Linked DNA regions of Diceros bicornis minor. The main gene of each other region encodes a partner of the protein of the gene in region 2 in a complex. Links are inferred from orthologs where the notes say so. Each region holds a gene or a part of one and is shown on either strand. Other genes may lie near its edges.

Region 1 (7,258 bases), on a different chromosome or scaffold from region 2:
AAATTCTGCCCCTGCCCCAGTCCCTGCCAGGCACCCTGGCAGGCACTGGGGCTGAGAAGGCTCACGAAAGCTCTCTCTACCAAGTCGCCCCCACAGCACCCAGTCTTAATGATATCCATCTCCTCTTGGGGCAAAATATCACTTTTATTTTCACTTTGAGGGCCTGAGTCACATCTCAACTCCATTTCCCTGCACTCTGTGACGCAGTCCTGCCAGAGCCCAGCCTTGGTCGCTCCCTGAAAGGCAGCTCCCAGCTCGTCAGGGAATCCTCGGCTCCGGTGGGCACCGGAAACCGGCTGAGAACGGGTCCCTACATGAGTTGAGCAGACAGCCCCTGTCCTCCAGAGCAGCCCTAAATATTTTGTTCCTGCTGTCCCCCCCACCCTCAGCACAAAAATATACTCAGAAAGACCAGGAAGTCTGCAGAAGAGTGAGCACACATCTGCACATGGATGTGTGTCTGTACAAGGGAACTAGTGTGTGCCTGTAGATGTCAGGATAGACTGGTGTGCAAGTGCGTGCGTGTGTGTGTGTGTGTGTGTGCAGGCAGCCTACTTGTACACAGCCACAGGCCCACCTCCCACACATATGCAGACACCAGCATGAGCTCCACATGCCTACAGCACCCACACTCCCACCCGAGCCTGGGGACCCAGGCCCCACATGCACACACACAAATCTTCCTGTGTGCATGCCCCCAGTCCTCACAGATGTGCGTATCCAGACCTCACAGGACACCACCGTGTCCAAGTCCCACAGAGATATATGTGCATCCTTATACAGACATATATTTGCACACACCCAGACCTCACACACGTTTGCCAGCTGATGTGCACACAGCTCCGAACTGCCATACATGTGCACACACTGTGACACGTTTACACCTTCACTCCCATGCAAATTAGCCAACAGCACCCCTTGTGCCACTCACACACATCCACCCTTGCAGGGCACACTTGCATTTTCAGGCCTTACACATGAAGCACACACCAGCACCTCCTCGTGGTGCACACACATGAACACTTACACACCTTTTCAGTGCACACAAGTGTACCCGAGTCAGTCCTTATACAACAATACACATCAAAATGCACACTTGTGTGTGCACATCCAGACCTCACACCAGCACATACCTACTTACAGGGCCCCTCTTCCCTGCACTCCAGCTGCTACAGCGGGGACCACCCAGGCCACTGAAGCTGCTCTGCCCACAGGGCAAACTCTGCCTGGAAACTGTACCCCTACCCTGGATCCAGCCCGAATCCTCCACGCACCTTGGTGGGGGCATCCAGGAACGCTTCCCTGACACTCCACAGCCGACTGGGCTACCCCAAGGGGCTCCCCTCTCCCCCATCCTCCCACCCTTCTCTCCACACCAGTCATTGGAGGCAGGAAATGAGCGCTGGGGCTGGACAACTTGGCCAAGGGACCAGAGCTGGTGCATCCTCACGCCACTAGCCCCTGCACCAGCAGTGCCCCCTCCAACTAGCCAGATTGCCCCTCCCCTCCTCCACAGGCCCAGGAAGCCTCATCAGTTGCTCAGTTATTAACCCCTGCTGTACTGATGCCCTCACTTCCAGAGGAGCTGGGAGGAGGAGGAGGGAGGCAAGGGGACGTGCTTACAGGGAGAGTTGGCCACTCTGCGCAGCCGCTGCAGGTGTCTAAAGTCAGGAAGGACTACCTGGGAGGTAGTGAACTCTGTCACCAGACATATCCAAGTTGAGGCCAGATGGCCACCTCAAGAGAAACTCGACAGGGGATTCCAGCCTTGGACTCAGCTGATTGGGAAGATCTCTTTTTAACCCTGAGTTTCTAAGAATTCGTGTGTGCCCAGGTGATGTGCACTCATGTGTGTGTGCATGAGCACACTGACATGCATTGTCAACCCTTTGCCCCTATATACACATGCCTGGCTGGCCTCGGCACATTGGTGCACCCGCAAACATGCCCACACCCGGCACTGGGCACCCCGCACATGCAAGTGCCCCCAAACACACGCAGCCTTCCTCCCTGTGTGTGCACAGGAAGCATTGCAGGTGCACACTCCCCGCTCATGACGCTGACCCCCTGCACCCTCTGGGACTCTCTGAGGTGCAACTCACTTTCCCAGTTCCTCGAAGAGCTGGTACTCTTCCGTGAAGCGGGTGCAGGTGATGGTGGCCATCCCGGCGCTGGGAGGGCAGGCGAGGCTCGGGGGTGGAGGACCAGGACTGGGTCGCTGCTGCTCTGCTCCCGGAACTAGGGGCCACTCGCCTGCCCCTGCTGCCGAGTGCAAACTGAGAACCAGCTTGACTGACGAGCCCGGGGCTTCTGAACAGGGCACTGTGGCTGCTCACAGCCTCGCGAGCCTTCGTCAGCATCCAGGTCCCCATGGCAACCACCTCCGAAACGCCCTGTTCCCGTTGCCCCGGTAACTGCCTCCCCAACACCTGCCTGCCTTCCACTGCGAAACCTGCTCCTGGACGCCCTGGCCCTACTGCACACAATACTGCAGACCTGTGTGTGTCTGGGGGTGGATGGACCCAGCTCCCCCAAGGTGATGGACCAAGGGAGGGGCTGGAGGAGGGGGAGGAGAACAAACTTAGTCCACAAGTGATCTTCTCTCTCCCCACCTCCCCCACCTCCAACTGTGGGGCCCTTGTAGCAGACAGGATGGGATTAAGTGGGGCAAAAAGGCAGTTGCCATGGTAACAGCCAGTGGCTGCCACATTCCGGGATGGTCCCCAGAAAAGACAGGATGCAGTTACCCTGGCAACTTCTTCTCCTCTGGAGAGACAGGTATTGCCCCGTTGCCCTGACAACAGCTGGGTTCTAAGGTTTACAGGGAACCTATAGCTAATTCATTGGGATCTCTCTCTCTAAGTGGATCACTGCAGTCTCTGTAACTGTCTCTCTGCTCCTCTCCGTATATTTTTGTTTTTTTTTTTTTTGCCTCCACCTCTGTCTTTATTTTGCTCTCACTCTCTCTGCTCTTTGCCATCTTGTCCATCACACTGAGACTCTAGCTTGGGGGAGAAGTGCAGAGGAGACACCAGGATTCTGCAGGGAACAGCCCTAGCTGCCCGCCCACCCCCACCCCTCACGGCTGTGACAGTTGGTGGCCTCCTGGGGCCTCTTCCGTAACCTCGCCCCCACCCCAGGCCTCCAGAGGGACCAGGGAGATCTGGTCTCCTGTGGCTCATGTCCCAGTTTCTGCTTGTGCTTCGAGTCAAGGTGAAAGAGCTGGAGGCGGCCGTGGGGAGGGAAGCACGGCCTGGCATGGAGGGGAGTGGCCACAGACCTGCCCTGAAATCCGCATTCCCAAATTTTGTGGACACTTTCCCTGCCAACTTCAACTCTTCAGGGCAGCTGCCATATCTATGGCCCCAAGATCTCACTCCAAGGCCTGAACGGTTGAGAAGGAGAAGGACTGGAGTTTAAGGATCCGAGTTCAATTCTAGCTCTGACATTTTTTAGCTGTGTGACCCTGGGAAAGTCACTGCCCTTCTCTGAGCCTCCAGCTCCTTTTCTACAAAACAGAACAAAGCTGCCGCTGCAGAGGAAGGCTGTGAAGATAGAGTGGGCTAAGGGCTGTGGAGGCCTTTGTACGTAAACACAGGCCTCTTTTTCGTTTCTAGAAGAGGAAAAGGAAAGTCTAAAGGGGGACGATGACCACCTCCATCACTCCAGCGTGGACTTAGAATCTCAGACCCTTCACACCCACCGCCTCCACTCAAGCTCATCTCACAGCCCACCAGGCTGAGGTCTCGTGCCAGCAGTGGCCCACGAGCACAGATCAGATAAAAAGATCCAGGATCCAACCCCACCCCTTCTGAACCTCCAAATTGCCTTATTGCTCACCTCATTTGCTGGACACCTTGTCTGCTTGTTGGTAATCCCCAACCCAGCAGGTCCCTGACTCACGACCCTAGGTCCAGGGGCCCCTGAGACGTCTGGGGCCCCCTCACAACTCTGCCCCTCTACTTGGGAGTCGGGGGTGGGAGAGGATGAGGGGGTTGGCTCTCCAATGCAGCCACTTCTTCCCAGGAGAGAAACGGGAGGGAGGCAGAGGGGGAGGAAGGGCGGCGAGCAAGAGAGGGGGTAATGGCTCAGCCACTAATTGCACCATTACCACCTTCAGAAAAAGGAAAAACCACTCAGTTTTGTTTCTGTGCACAATATGCTTTCCGCTTCTGCCGCCAACGTTGCAATTCAGAGGCAGAGAAGAGAGGCCCGTGCTCAGGGGCTGCACAGCCAGTGGGCAGCGGGTAGAGCACAGAACACCCCTAGAGGCTAGGGGCTGACACACTGTAAATGCTCAATTATTATTATTGAGAGACTCAAAAATCCCTCCCTCTTCCCACCACTCTCTGAATTTTGGAAGTACACACCACTATCTTCAAGTCCCAGGACATTCTCTGAGTCCCCACTGGAATCGAGCTTGCGGTTTGAACATCACCTTGCCTGGACCTGGTTTGCAGAAATGCCTGTGGAACAAAGGGCTGGGGCTACAGGGAGAGGGGTCACGAGGCCTCCAGCTCATCAGGTGCCAACACAACGCTGCTTTAGAAATTAACAAGTAAAACATAAGGCAAATATGCCCAGAGGCTGTATTAATGGGAATCTAATGTTCTGAGCAAAGGAGGTGATAGCCCTGCTTGGTTTGGAGCTCACTGACCGCTTCACTGATGACATGGAGCATGTTCAGAAGAGAGCAGAGCACATGGGGGGAGCTCCGGCCATCAGGTCACAGGAAGAGCTAGCGGTGACTCAGAGGAGGACTTGAAGGGGCGGAGGCGTAGACGGCCAGCTCTCTCCCTGTCTCTGATGGGGACCACGAAGGTGGCCTATGTGGCTTCAGAGGGCAAGACCAACCCAGCCCCATCCACCCATCACCCCAGTCACCCGTCTCTCTTCTCCCTGAGTTCCACCTACCTTTTCAGCTCTCCTTTCTCCTCTCCTTCCTCTCTCTCACTTTTCCCCGTTTTCTTCCTTCCCTCCATCGTGCCCTTCCTTCTCAGTCCTACCTATCCTTCCTAGTCCATTTCACCCCTATTCTTGTTTCTATCTCCCTTCCTTTCTGTCTTGGTATCTGTCACCCTTCTCTCCCTCCGCGTGCTGGCCTGGACCCTGTGCACACAGTGCTGGAGGATGGGCAGGACCCAGGCTGCAGGATCCTGCTGGTGGAGAGATGGCCGCAGAGGAGGGAGAAGAGGAAAAGGTCTCATCGGCAACTCCAACGCACGCGCACATACACACCTCTGAACCTTTGAGAACCTAGCGCAGGGTGTGGGCACTGCCTCAGACGGGCACCCCCATCCTGGTGTAACTGCCACCCTGCCGAAGAGGCACGGTCGCTAATTCACTGCCTCCCCTGTGCCCGCGAGGCTGAGGCTGGCAGCTGTGCCTGGCGGTGGCGGGCAGCGAGGAGCCAGCCCTGCCTCCGTGGCGCTCAGAGAATGAGCGATGACTGCATCAGGGGGACTGTTCCTGCCAGACTCCCCACTCCCTAGGGCCATGGCAGGCATGCAAGCCAGCACGTGTGCCCCCATCTGCAACACGTGTGTGGTACCCAAGAGCCGGCCTGCCTGCCACAGGCTGGTGGGCAGGGGTGGGGGCCCTGGAGGTGGCTGAGCATGGCCCTGTACCATAGGCTATACCCCACGTAGACACGGAGGGACACACGGGCCCAGGGCCAAGTTCCTGGGCCATGGCAGGGGAGTGGGTGAGTGACTGCAGCCCCAGTAGCATTGTGACAGCTGACTCAAATCCCACCTTCCACAGCCCACACACATGCTCGCATGCACGTGCCCGAGTGCCCCAGGGTCCTGCAGGTCCTGGGCAGGCGCCACAGAAAACGTGCCATCCGAAGGGTCCCCACAGGCCTGTCCCACTAAGGGCAGTGAGCGTGGGGAGCAGAATCGGTGGAAAGTGGGCCAAGAGAGAACTGATCCTGCAGAGGGGCTAGGTGGAGGGTGATTTGGTTAACTAATTGCAATAAGTAACGCCAGGCTTGCACCCTGAAGGGAGAGAAGTCAGGGGTCAGGGAGCACCACACAGGAGGCACTGGAAGCAGGGAGCCAAGGGGCAGAGGACAACGGCTGCTGGGCCAGCATCTGCACAGCACAACCTGCAGCGGGAGGACCCCGGTTCAAGTTCTGCCATCGGCTCTGAGTACTTACAGCAGGTCTTTCTCCAGCTGGGGCCTCCACTTCCTCCTGAGAAATATGGGGACAAGATGTTCCTTCACTCACTCCAAGGACATGAGAAATAGTTATTTCCACTTTAGAGCCAGGCCCTGTGCTGAGCGCTATTTATACATTTGTCCACAACAAATGTGCGTGGACAGGTACAACGTTGCCCGTTTTGCAGAGATGTGATGTGTCTTACCCATCTAGAGTCTGTGACTTCAGCACCCCCACCCTGTGTTCTTTGGCCTCCCTAAGGGCTGGAAGGGCCCTAAGAGAGCCCATGCCCCTTACAGATGGGGGACTGAGGCCCAGAGAGAGGATGCTGCCCTCCCGCAGTCGCACAAGTCAGGGGCAGAGTCAGTATGACAATCTGGAACTCCTGACTCCCAGAACAGTGCTCCTTCCCTTACCCTGTGCTGCCCTCCCTCTTTATGGCACTGCACGGCTACTTGCCTAGGTCCCAAGGTAGCCAGCAGGCACCAAGTGAGAGGAGGAAATGGTGCCAAGGCCCAGGGTAGAGCTCAGAGCCCTGCCCCTCCAGCCAGGTCTAGGGTGCTCTCCTGGCTCCTGGGGGACTGCTCATCCCTGCCCAGAACTCCACAGGCAGGGCCCAGCTCAGGCAGGGCTGCCCGTGGCTCCAACCCATCTGGCTGACAGATCTGCTGCCATCTGGCCCAGCCAATGGGGAAAGAGGGGGCCTGGCTGGCATCTCTGGGCTCCACTCCCCCAGATCTATGACCCAAGAGGCCAGAGCTACCTCTGGTCTGCCCTGCCTCTCACCCTTCCCCACCATAGATGGTGAAAGCATCTGCCTGGCACTGCCAGTCAGGGGTCTGACACAGAGCCCAGACTCAGGTGCCCCAGCTGGGAGGCATGGAGGGGCCACAGGAGGTAGGTGGGAGCCACGCTGATGGCTGGGCAGAGCAGAAGCCACAGCAAGCAGGCTGAGCCCCTCATCACCACACCCTGAGTCCTCGTCGCTCCTCATCCAGAGACCCTCCACCCGTCTCGGGCCCGGGCCAGCTGCCAGCACCCTGGTTAGGCAGGCTTGGGGACTGCTGGGTGTGGACCGGGTCACGGGCTGAAGC
Region 2 (8,052 bases):
AAGAGGGCTTTCTTTGCATTTGGAGGATCCTTTGGACTGAATCAAGTTCCACTATTCCTTTCAATTCTCGGCTAAGGGAGGCCACTACCATTTGGTTTTCTGTGATGATTTCCTAAAGTGGCAGCTTCCCATGGGAGTTGACCAACAAGTCTTGGTCTAAATCTCATATTGAATTGGTAGAATCCTAGGGGAAGCATGCCATTATGTGAGACAAATTACTATCTAACATGAATTACTGTCTAACACTGCTGCTAGAATTTCAGCTTTACGTCATTTGTTTACAACCCGTTCCTTGCTAGGCATTATTGCTTCTAAAAATAGTGGTGGTAATTTCTGTAGATTTTCATTTCAGTGATCAGAAACATGTTTTATTATCCCCAAACAAATGGTTAGCTTGAAACAAAAAAGAACAATAATAACAAGTGAAAAGAAAGAGAGAAGAAAGAAAACTATGTCTCAAGGTCTGTACGAAGTACTTAATATAAATATCTCCTTTAATGCTTAAAACAACCCTACAAGGCATGCTCTATCATTATCCTCATTTTTCAGACAAGTAAACTGAGTCTTAGATTAAAAAAATAATACCCAGTGTCCTACAGCTGGTCACATTAAGTGTCACATTAGAGAATAATGTGTAAGTCTGAAATTCATGTCTTAATTAGCCACCATGATATGCTGTTCCTATTCTAAAAAGAAGGCTTCTTTCTTAAGGAATTAACATTGGTGTGTAATAGGACGAGAACAACTGTTCATCATACTAACAAGGGATAATGAAGACCATTCTGGCAGAGAAATAACATTTTACAGGTTTCTCATTTTCCACTGCATCATTCCATGTTCAATAGCATAGGCAATCCAGCTGAGTTCCTGAAGTCATATTTCAAAAATTGCTCTGACTGTCACAATGCAATTGATGAGAATTTGTTTGTTATAACACAAATAGTTATATTATGAACCTTACATTAGACAACAATAAGACTTAACTCTGAAATACGCCTATCATCATTAGTCTTTTGTATCCAGGATGATTTAATATCATCTGCAGCCAGTCATTTGACTTAGGATAGTGGTTTTCAAACTTGAGTTTGCATCAGAATCTCCCATAGGGCTTCTTCAAAACACAAATTACTGGACTCCACTCTCAGAGGTTTTAATTCAGTAGATGTGGGTTCCAGCCCTTAAAGTTTGCATTTCTAACAAGTTCCCAAATGCTGCTGCTACTGGTGGTCTGGAGACCACACTTTGAGAACCACGGGCCCAGACCAGGCTTTAAAAGCTTTTTCCATAAAGAACTGGGTAAATACTTTTGGCTTTGTGGACCATATAGTGTCTATCACAACTACTCAATGCTTCCCTTGTAGTACAAAAGCAGCCGGACACAATACCTAAATAAATAGGAGATGGCTGTGTTTCAATAAAATTTGTTTTACAGGAACAGGTTTCAGGCTGGATTTGGTCAGTGGATGATAGTTGGTCAATCTCTGGCCTAAACCAACTCAGTACAAGAGGCCTGAAAAATCGCTTTATGTTAAATAGCAACTTTGTGAGAATCAACTATAGATTTATGAATAAACTCTCTTCTAAGGTTTTAAATAAAATCTGCAGAACTCTACCAGAGACTAAGCTGATTGTGTTAAAGCATAAGCATAAGAGTAGAGGAGAAACCCCAAAGCTTTTCCATGAACTCTGCAAAAAAGTGATACTTTTATGCAAGAATCTGCATCTTATACATAGTTTTTGTTCTACGATGCCCATGAACTCTATCTTTTTTGTCAAATTTTAGTTTTATTTGGATATTGCTTATAATGTCAGAAGCTATAAATCTACCGTTTAAAAGAAAACTGACACTACATTAAATGACACAGATGCTAACTCAATCAGGTTATCTAACGAGCTTATAACAAAGTATAACAAAACAAAAACACTCTACTTGTCATGAGTGTGCTCAGCGTTAAAGTATTTGTCTTTATCCAGAACGGTATACTTCAAACTAATTTAAAATGCCCATGTAATCTTAAAAGTTTGCTAAACTGTATATGCAAGTGAACCCACTGCATTAGCTCTATCCTTATAAAGTGTAAGTTCCTGTAAGAAGACACAATTCAGACAAATTTTTGTCATAACAGAATGTAATTTAGTTCCCTTAAAATAATTATACACAAATAACATCAGGAAAGCTAGTATTATCAGTCATTTTATAAACTCACTTATAATGCAAGTATTATGTCAAACATCTCCAACAATGCTACAGACTAGAAATATTTAAATAAAACCTCTAGAGACAATTATATATTCTAATATGATAATAATTTGAAAATTAACTAAAATGACTCCGTGGCGGGATACATGACTTCCATCTTCCAAAATCTTTTCCTAAATTCACTTAAATCAAATGTTTAACTTTGACCAATGGGTTTATATTTACCCCTAGATATTTAGTCTTTAGTCTAATGCTAGACTTTAGTGGTTTTCAAAGAGTCCTCAATTAAAAAAAAAATTTCTGAAAGAGCATTGTGGTCAAACGGAACTGGAAAATGTTGACTTTGAAAACATTTTAAAGTTTTTTCCACATCAGGACTCCTCAGAAACATTGATATTCATGGCACAAATATCTAAGAAAGATGTGGTACATTGTGCAGCCTTTCCCTATCTCATTTGAACACGGAACCCAATCATCAGTAGAGCATCTTAAAGTATAAGAGGAATGCTTATGAAGAAATGAAGAAAACAGTGTTCTTCATGCTTGAATCCAGATAGCAGGTGATAATGTGCGTTTGAAAATAAATTCAACTAGATTCAAAAAATATTTATTAAGTACCCCTATGATTTGACTAATCACATAAAGGTTAACTCTTTAGTTTTATCATGCTACTCACCAAAATCTATCTAGAACATAGTTACTCCTATTAAACATACTTACACTCCTCTTCAGGCCTCTTCCGAAGTGCTGCGCGAACTTCTTTACAAGGACTTCTCTGATATTGTGGGGGATTCCTTCCCCTTATTAGATTCTCCATCCTATAAGAGAAAATCAAAAGAGTATTTTAATACCAAAATCTTCATAAATTTTGACGAGTTAAATGGTCTAAATCAAGAGTCAATAATTCAAGCACCTACAGAGGCTTGGTGGACAATGCCATTGAGAGTATCTAGCAGGGAGTAAGAGAGTAGGAAGTAGCAGGGACTGTGGTAAACCAGACAGTGCTTGACTTTTCCTAGGCATTCCAATTTTAAAAATGTAAGAACACATGTGGACAAAACTCATATGCACATCCTCCAATTAAGACTGTGATGGACTGAATGTTTATGTCCTGCCCAAACCCCCCACCATTCATATGTTGAAGCCCTGACCCCTAATGTAATGGTATTTGGTGGTGAAACTGTTGGGAGGTCATTAGGTTTAGATGAGGTCCAAAGGGTGGAGAGCCCTTGATGGGATTAGTGTCCTCACAAGAGGAAGAGAGACCAGATCTCATGGGTGCACCATCTCTCTCTCTCTTTCTCTCTGCCATATGAGGACACAGTGAGAAGGTGGTTATCAGCAAACCAGGAAGAGGGCTCTCGCCAGGAAGTGAATCTTCTGGTACCTTGATTTTAGACTTCCCAGCCTCCAGAACTGTGAGAAATAAATGTCTGCTGTTTAAGCCACCCAGTCTGTGGTATTTTGTTATAGCAGCCTCAGCTGACTAAGGCGGAGACCTATTGACTAAAGAGTGATTATTTTTAAAGCAAACAAATTTATCAAAAATCAGGTCACCCTTCAGAAGAAGGAATATATATTTCAATAACACTCTGAATATCAGTTTTCAAGGAATGGAATTGCTGCTGTCCTTCCATGCTAATGACTAAATTTGGACGGGTTTTCTAATTCTAATAATTGTGACTTCTTGAAAAAGTGGTTGATACAAAGTGTACTTCTCTGTTGCTAGCGACTTGGCAATGCTGACAACCACAAAATAATAATAAATGCATCACATGCAACTTGGGTTAGCATATTTAACAGCACATACCTTATGGTCAGTATTTTTTGGTTTCAGTAAACCTTACAGTTTCGTGCCACCAATGCACAATCTACTCATTTTGATAACATTGAAAAACTGTTGAGTGTTCAGAATTTAAAAATTCAGAACAAAACCATGATATTGATTGATCACTTTGAAAATATAAACATAGCTTCTGAACATCTACATAATTATTCTAATGGGACATCACTGGTATTGACAACTGTGCTGGCTGATAGCATATATACCATGGAAAACAGTATGATTATTACCCTTATGGTGGTAGAGGGTCTCCTAACATTAGTGGTGCAGAGGATTTTGTTTCTGGTGTCTAGAGAGGAAACTGAGGAAGGATAATCCAATAAAAGCAATATTTAAAATGGTGTAAAATATGACATAAATAGCCTTTAGTACTGGAATAGTAACATACTCTTCCTATGGGAAGCTGTCACTGGTTCTTAGAAACACTTTTACAAATATACTTCCTGAAATCAATATATTCATACGTAGGGGCTGCTTTACTTGTGTGTGTGTGTGTGTGTGTGTGTGTGTGTGTACACTCATGTCCCCACACTTGTGTGTATAAAAATCTTTCTCAATGAGCAATGAAGATAACTTTAAGCTTAGTTTCACTTGAAGCTCATTTCAAGTGAGAAAAAGAGTTATTTCTCTCAAAGTTATGATAATACAATGACAAGAAACCAAGTGAAAAACTGAAGAGTTGAAGACATAATTTGCTTTAACACTATATATGGGGGGAAATTAAGCTTCCAGGACTGTCCCTACAGTTTCACTATGAGGAAGAGCTGTGCAAATTAAGTTATATAAAATTTTCTAGTTTCTGACTCTCAAATAAATTCAACGCACAATTTTGATTATGTTTCAGCAAACGCATTAATTTCCATGATGATCTAATAACAACTTAAATGAACTTATAATTATTCCCTGGTATTTATAAGCTCAAGATAGCAAAATACAACAAACATAACCTGCATATGCAAATGTCTAGATAAAATTGTGATATAATTTTAAAAACCAATTTTTACTTATCGTGAGTGACTGCACTCTGATGAGGAATAACAATTTATCCTGGTTGGAAATCTATGTGTAAACCACTCTCTTGGATAGGCTATTATTTTTCCTTTTATATATCTATCAAATATGTGAAAACGAAAATAGTCTACTTGATTTCCATGTAACTCTATTTGAGAGAATGTCAGAAAAACTGAAAAACAGGTTAGAAAGTACTTCCAGGGATCCAGGAAAGTTTCACTTATATGGTTGCTATTGGCGTCAAAGATCCCCAAGTCAACCCCCTAGGAATCATGGTGCCCAAAGGTTGCATCCTGGGGATGTTCACAAGCAGATATGCAAGAGATCAGGCAATGTTAGCAATGTAGCATGCTTTCAATGTGATGAGTCTAGGTTCTGGAATCAGACGCCTGGGCTCAAACTCCCATTCTGTCTCTTAAAGGATGATTTTAGGGAAAGATACCTACTTTGTGCTTTAATTTTTTCATCTGTAAATGAAGATAACATTAACTACCTCATAACATTGTTGTGAGGATTAAATATGTTAATACATGTAAAATGGTTTGCATTGTATCTCTCACAATGCAAGAGCTCAGCAAACGTAGCTATTATTAACCATAATTATCCCAAATAAAAATGAAATCATATACTAAAATTTTAAATGTCCAATATGTTGGGAAAAATATGAAAAGTCGCCTTTATTTAATAAAGAAAAAGAACAGATGGCACTGTTGAGAAAAAAATTCTGTCTAAACAAATGTTCTGGTTATTAGAAAAACACAAAACATCTATGCACATGAATTGCCAACTTAAGAAATAAAGAACTCAAAAAAATATACCTCATTGTATTCAGTAAGATTTAAGGGATTACTATACGACAATCTTCCAAGGATACTAACATGGATAGAAGTGGGTGGTTACCCTCATGAATTAACTAAAGTGCTAAATAACTTATTCTTTCTTAGAGAATTTAGAAGCTATCTCAAAATTTTATACTGCCCTTTGACTTTAGCAAGAACAATGAATATATCTTATAACGTATTACCATTTATCATTTATTCTATTTAATCTTTACAACAACCTTCTGAAAGAACATTTTGAAGATGAAGAAGCTAAGGCTCTGAAATGTTCAGTAACCTGATTGTGGCCACACAGGAAGGAAGAGGCTCAACTGAGACTTAATCAAGGTTCTCTGATTTTTTAATCTTTTTCTAGATGCTTCTTAATCCATTATTTCCATGAGTCTATGATTATTTATTATAATTCCACTAGGAGACTGAATACTTGAGATTCTACTTTCATACATATTTAATTTTGATTAAATTCTTATTATATACAACATTAATATTTATATTAACATATACTTGTATATAAATAGTATATATTAGAGATATAAATATAATACTATACAAATATATATATTTGCATATATATTGATCTGCTGATTATATGCTGATTTTTAATCATTTAGCTATTTTCACAGAAATATTTGTTTCTATTGGTGACATTTTAAGCTTTTGAGAACCACCAAAAAGATAAGTGAGGCATAAGAAACCAACTATAAATTATATATACAACACACTAACAGAAGAAAAAATTTAAAAATCGCTTTCAAAGCCCTTTTGTTCTTTGGAATGCTAAATGTTATGCCCAGTGGAAAATAAAGTTTGAATCAAATTAAAAGTTTTACAGAGCAATGTTCATGTTCAAACAATTATATAGCTGCGAGACTTCCATCTTCCTCAGATTTACACTTCTGGCTGCTTGAACTCTTCCACCAGTATCATCTATGATCTACAGTTTGCATTAAATGGTCAGACAAAATGACCAAGAATGAAGTCTTGGAGCACAGCCAGGACACAGCAAAGGAGCTGTTCTAGCTACTCTCAAAGTTTGCAAGGCACCAGCGGAAGTGTGTTAACAATTACAGCAAGGAGAGATTAAGTGTGATGACCACAGGGAAGACAGATACTCGAACAACTCATTGAAGAGCTCTAAAAAGTGCAGCCTACATGTCAACTGCTGGGAAGAAATAGGGGCAGCCAGATTAATATCAAACAGCACGAAAAAGCAATCAGAGGTTATGAGCAAAGGTATCCACAACTTTCTTGGTGGTGTCTCCCAAACTTAGGTCACAAAATCTCCTGAGGAGCTTTAATCGAATCCAGATTCCACCATTCCCATTACTAAAGATTTCCATCCAGTAAACTGGGGTCAGATTTAGGTAGATGTATTTTTTCATAGTAATCAAGTGCTTCTAAAGTAGCCTTACACTGGTGCAAATACTGGTATTTAGGAACCCCTGTAAATAAAAAATATATACTTGGAGACGTAAGAAAGGGAAGTTCAATGAATTCATCCCAGGAGATAAAGTCATCTGCTGATACAGAAGTGAGGTGAGGGCCTGGTGAGGACACTGCAGTTAGGACAGGTACCATCAAAAATGAAAAGAGTAGCCAAAGAGGTACTGTCAAAGGCTTACCAAGTTGTCTGGAGGTCAATCAGATGAACCTGGAGGCTACTTATTTATAAGGCTGATAATCTCAATAGTGAAATGATTTCCTCCAACAAGATTTGGTAGACTCGGCTGGATCAGAGAACAAGTTTGGGTTGATCTAGGATTGTGGATTGAGTTGGGGATGTGGCTAAGGAATGAAGGAAGTGAAGCTTGAGTGAAAATATCGTTGAAATGGATTTACACTGGACGGAGGAGGAAGAGGGAGAATGACTGAGTCACTGGAGGGCAAGGGAGTTGGATTAAGAGACTAGAGGTATCAAGTATAGGTATTTCTAAAATGCGTATGGTGTGCCAGACACTATGTTAGGTTCTTTATATATATATTATCTATGTCATTCTTATTGTATCCATGGCTAATCTGAGGCCTAGAGATGTTAAATAACTTGCTTAAGGATCACATAGCCAGTAAGTGCAAAAATCAGAATTTAAAACCAGACCTGTCTGACTCCAGAGCGTATGCTATTAATGACTATACAGACTATGAGAACTTTCTGTGATGAT

The links. The genes of interacting proteins can lie anywhere in the genome.
Region 1: the proteins of LRRC7 (region 2) and CAMK2A are in contact, whole or in part, in a crystal structure (PDB 6X5G), measured with the Homo sapiens proteins. The link is inferred for Diceros bicornis minor from reciprocal best matches to the Homo sapiens genes LRRC7 and CAMK2A. Residues at the interface, in NP_001357714.1 of Homo sapiens: His843, Gly844, Arg845, Arg846, Pro847, Leu848, Ile849, Arg850, Gln851, Asp852, Arg853, Ile854, Val855; in NP_001350919.1 of Homo sapiens: Glu96, Phe98, Glu99, Ile101, Val102, Lys137, Glu139, Leu159, Phe173, Ala174, Gly175, Thr176, Pro177, Gly178, Tyr179, Leu180, Ile205, Gly209, Tyr210, Pro211, Pro212, Phe213, Trp214, Tyr222, Gln224, Pro233, Glu236.

The regions. Positions count from the first base shown.
Region 1 is NC_080740.1:67,297,465-67,304,722, forward strand, and holds the start of CAMK2A (calcium/calmodulin-dependent protein kinase type II subunit alpha), read right to left. Parts: upstream 3,008-7,258; 5' UTR 2,165-3,007; coding exon 2,103-2,164; intron 1-2,102. UniProt on the Homo sapiens protein: Calcium/calmodulin-dependent protein kinase that functions autonomously after Ca(2+)/calmodulin-binding and autophosphorylation, and is involved in various processes, such as synaptic plasticity, neurotransmitter release and long-term potentiation.
Region 2 is NC_080743.1:8,009,787-8,017,838, reverse strand, and holds the start of LRRC7 (leucine-rich repeat-containing protein 7), read right to left. Parts: upstream 3,018-8,052; coding exon 2,921-3,017; intron 1-2,920.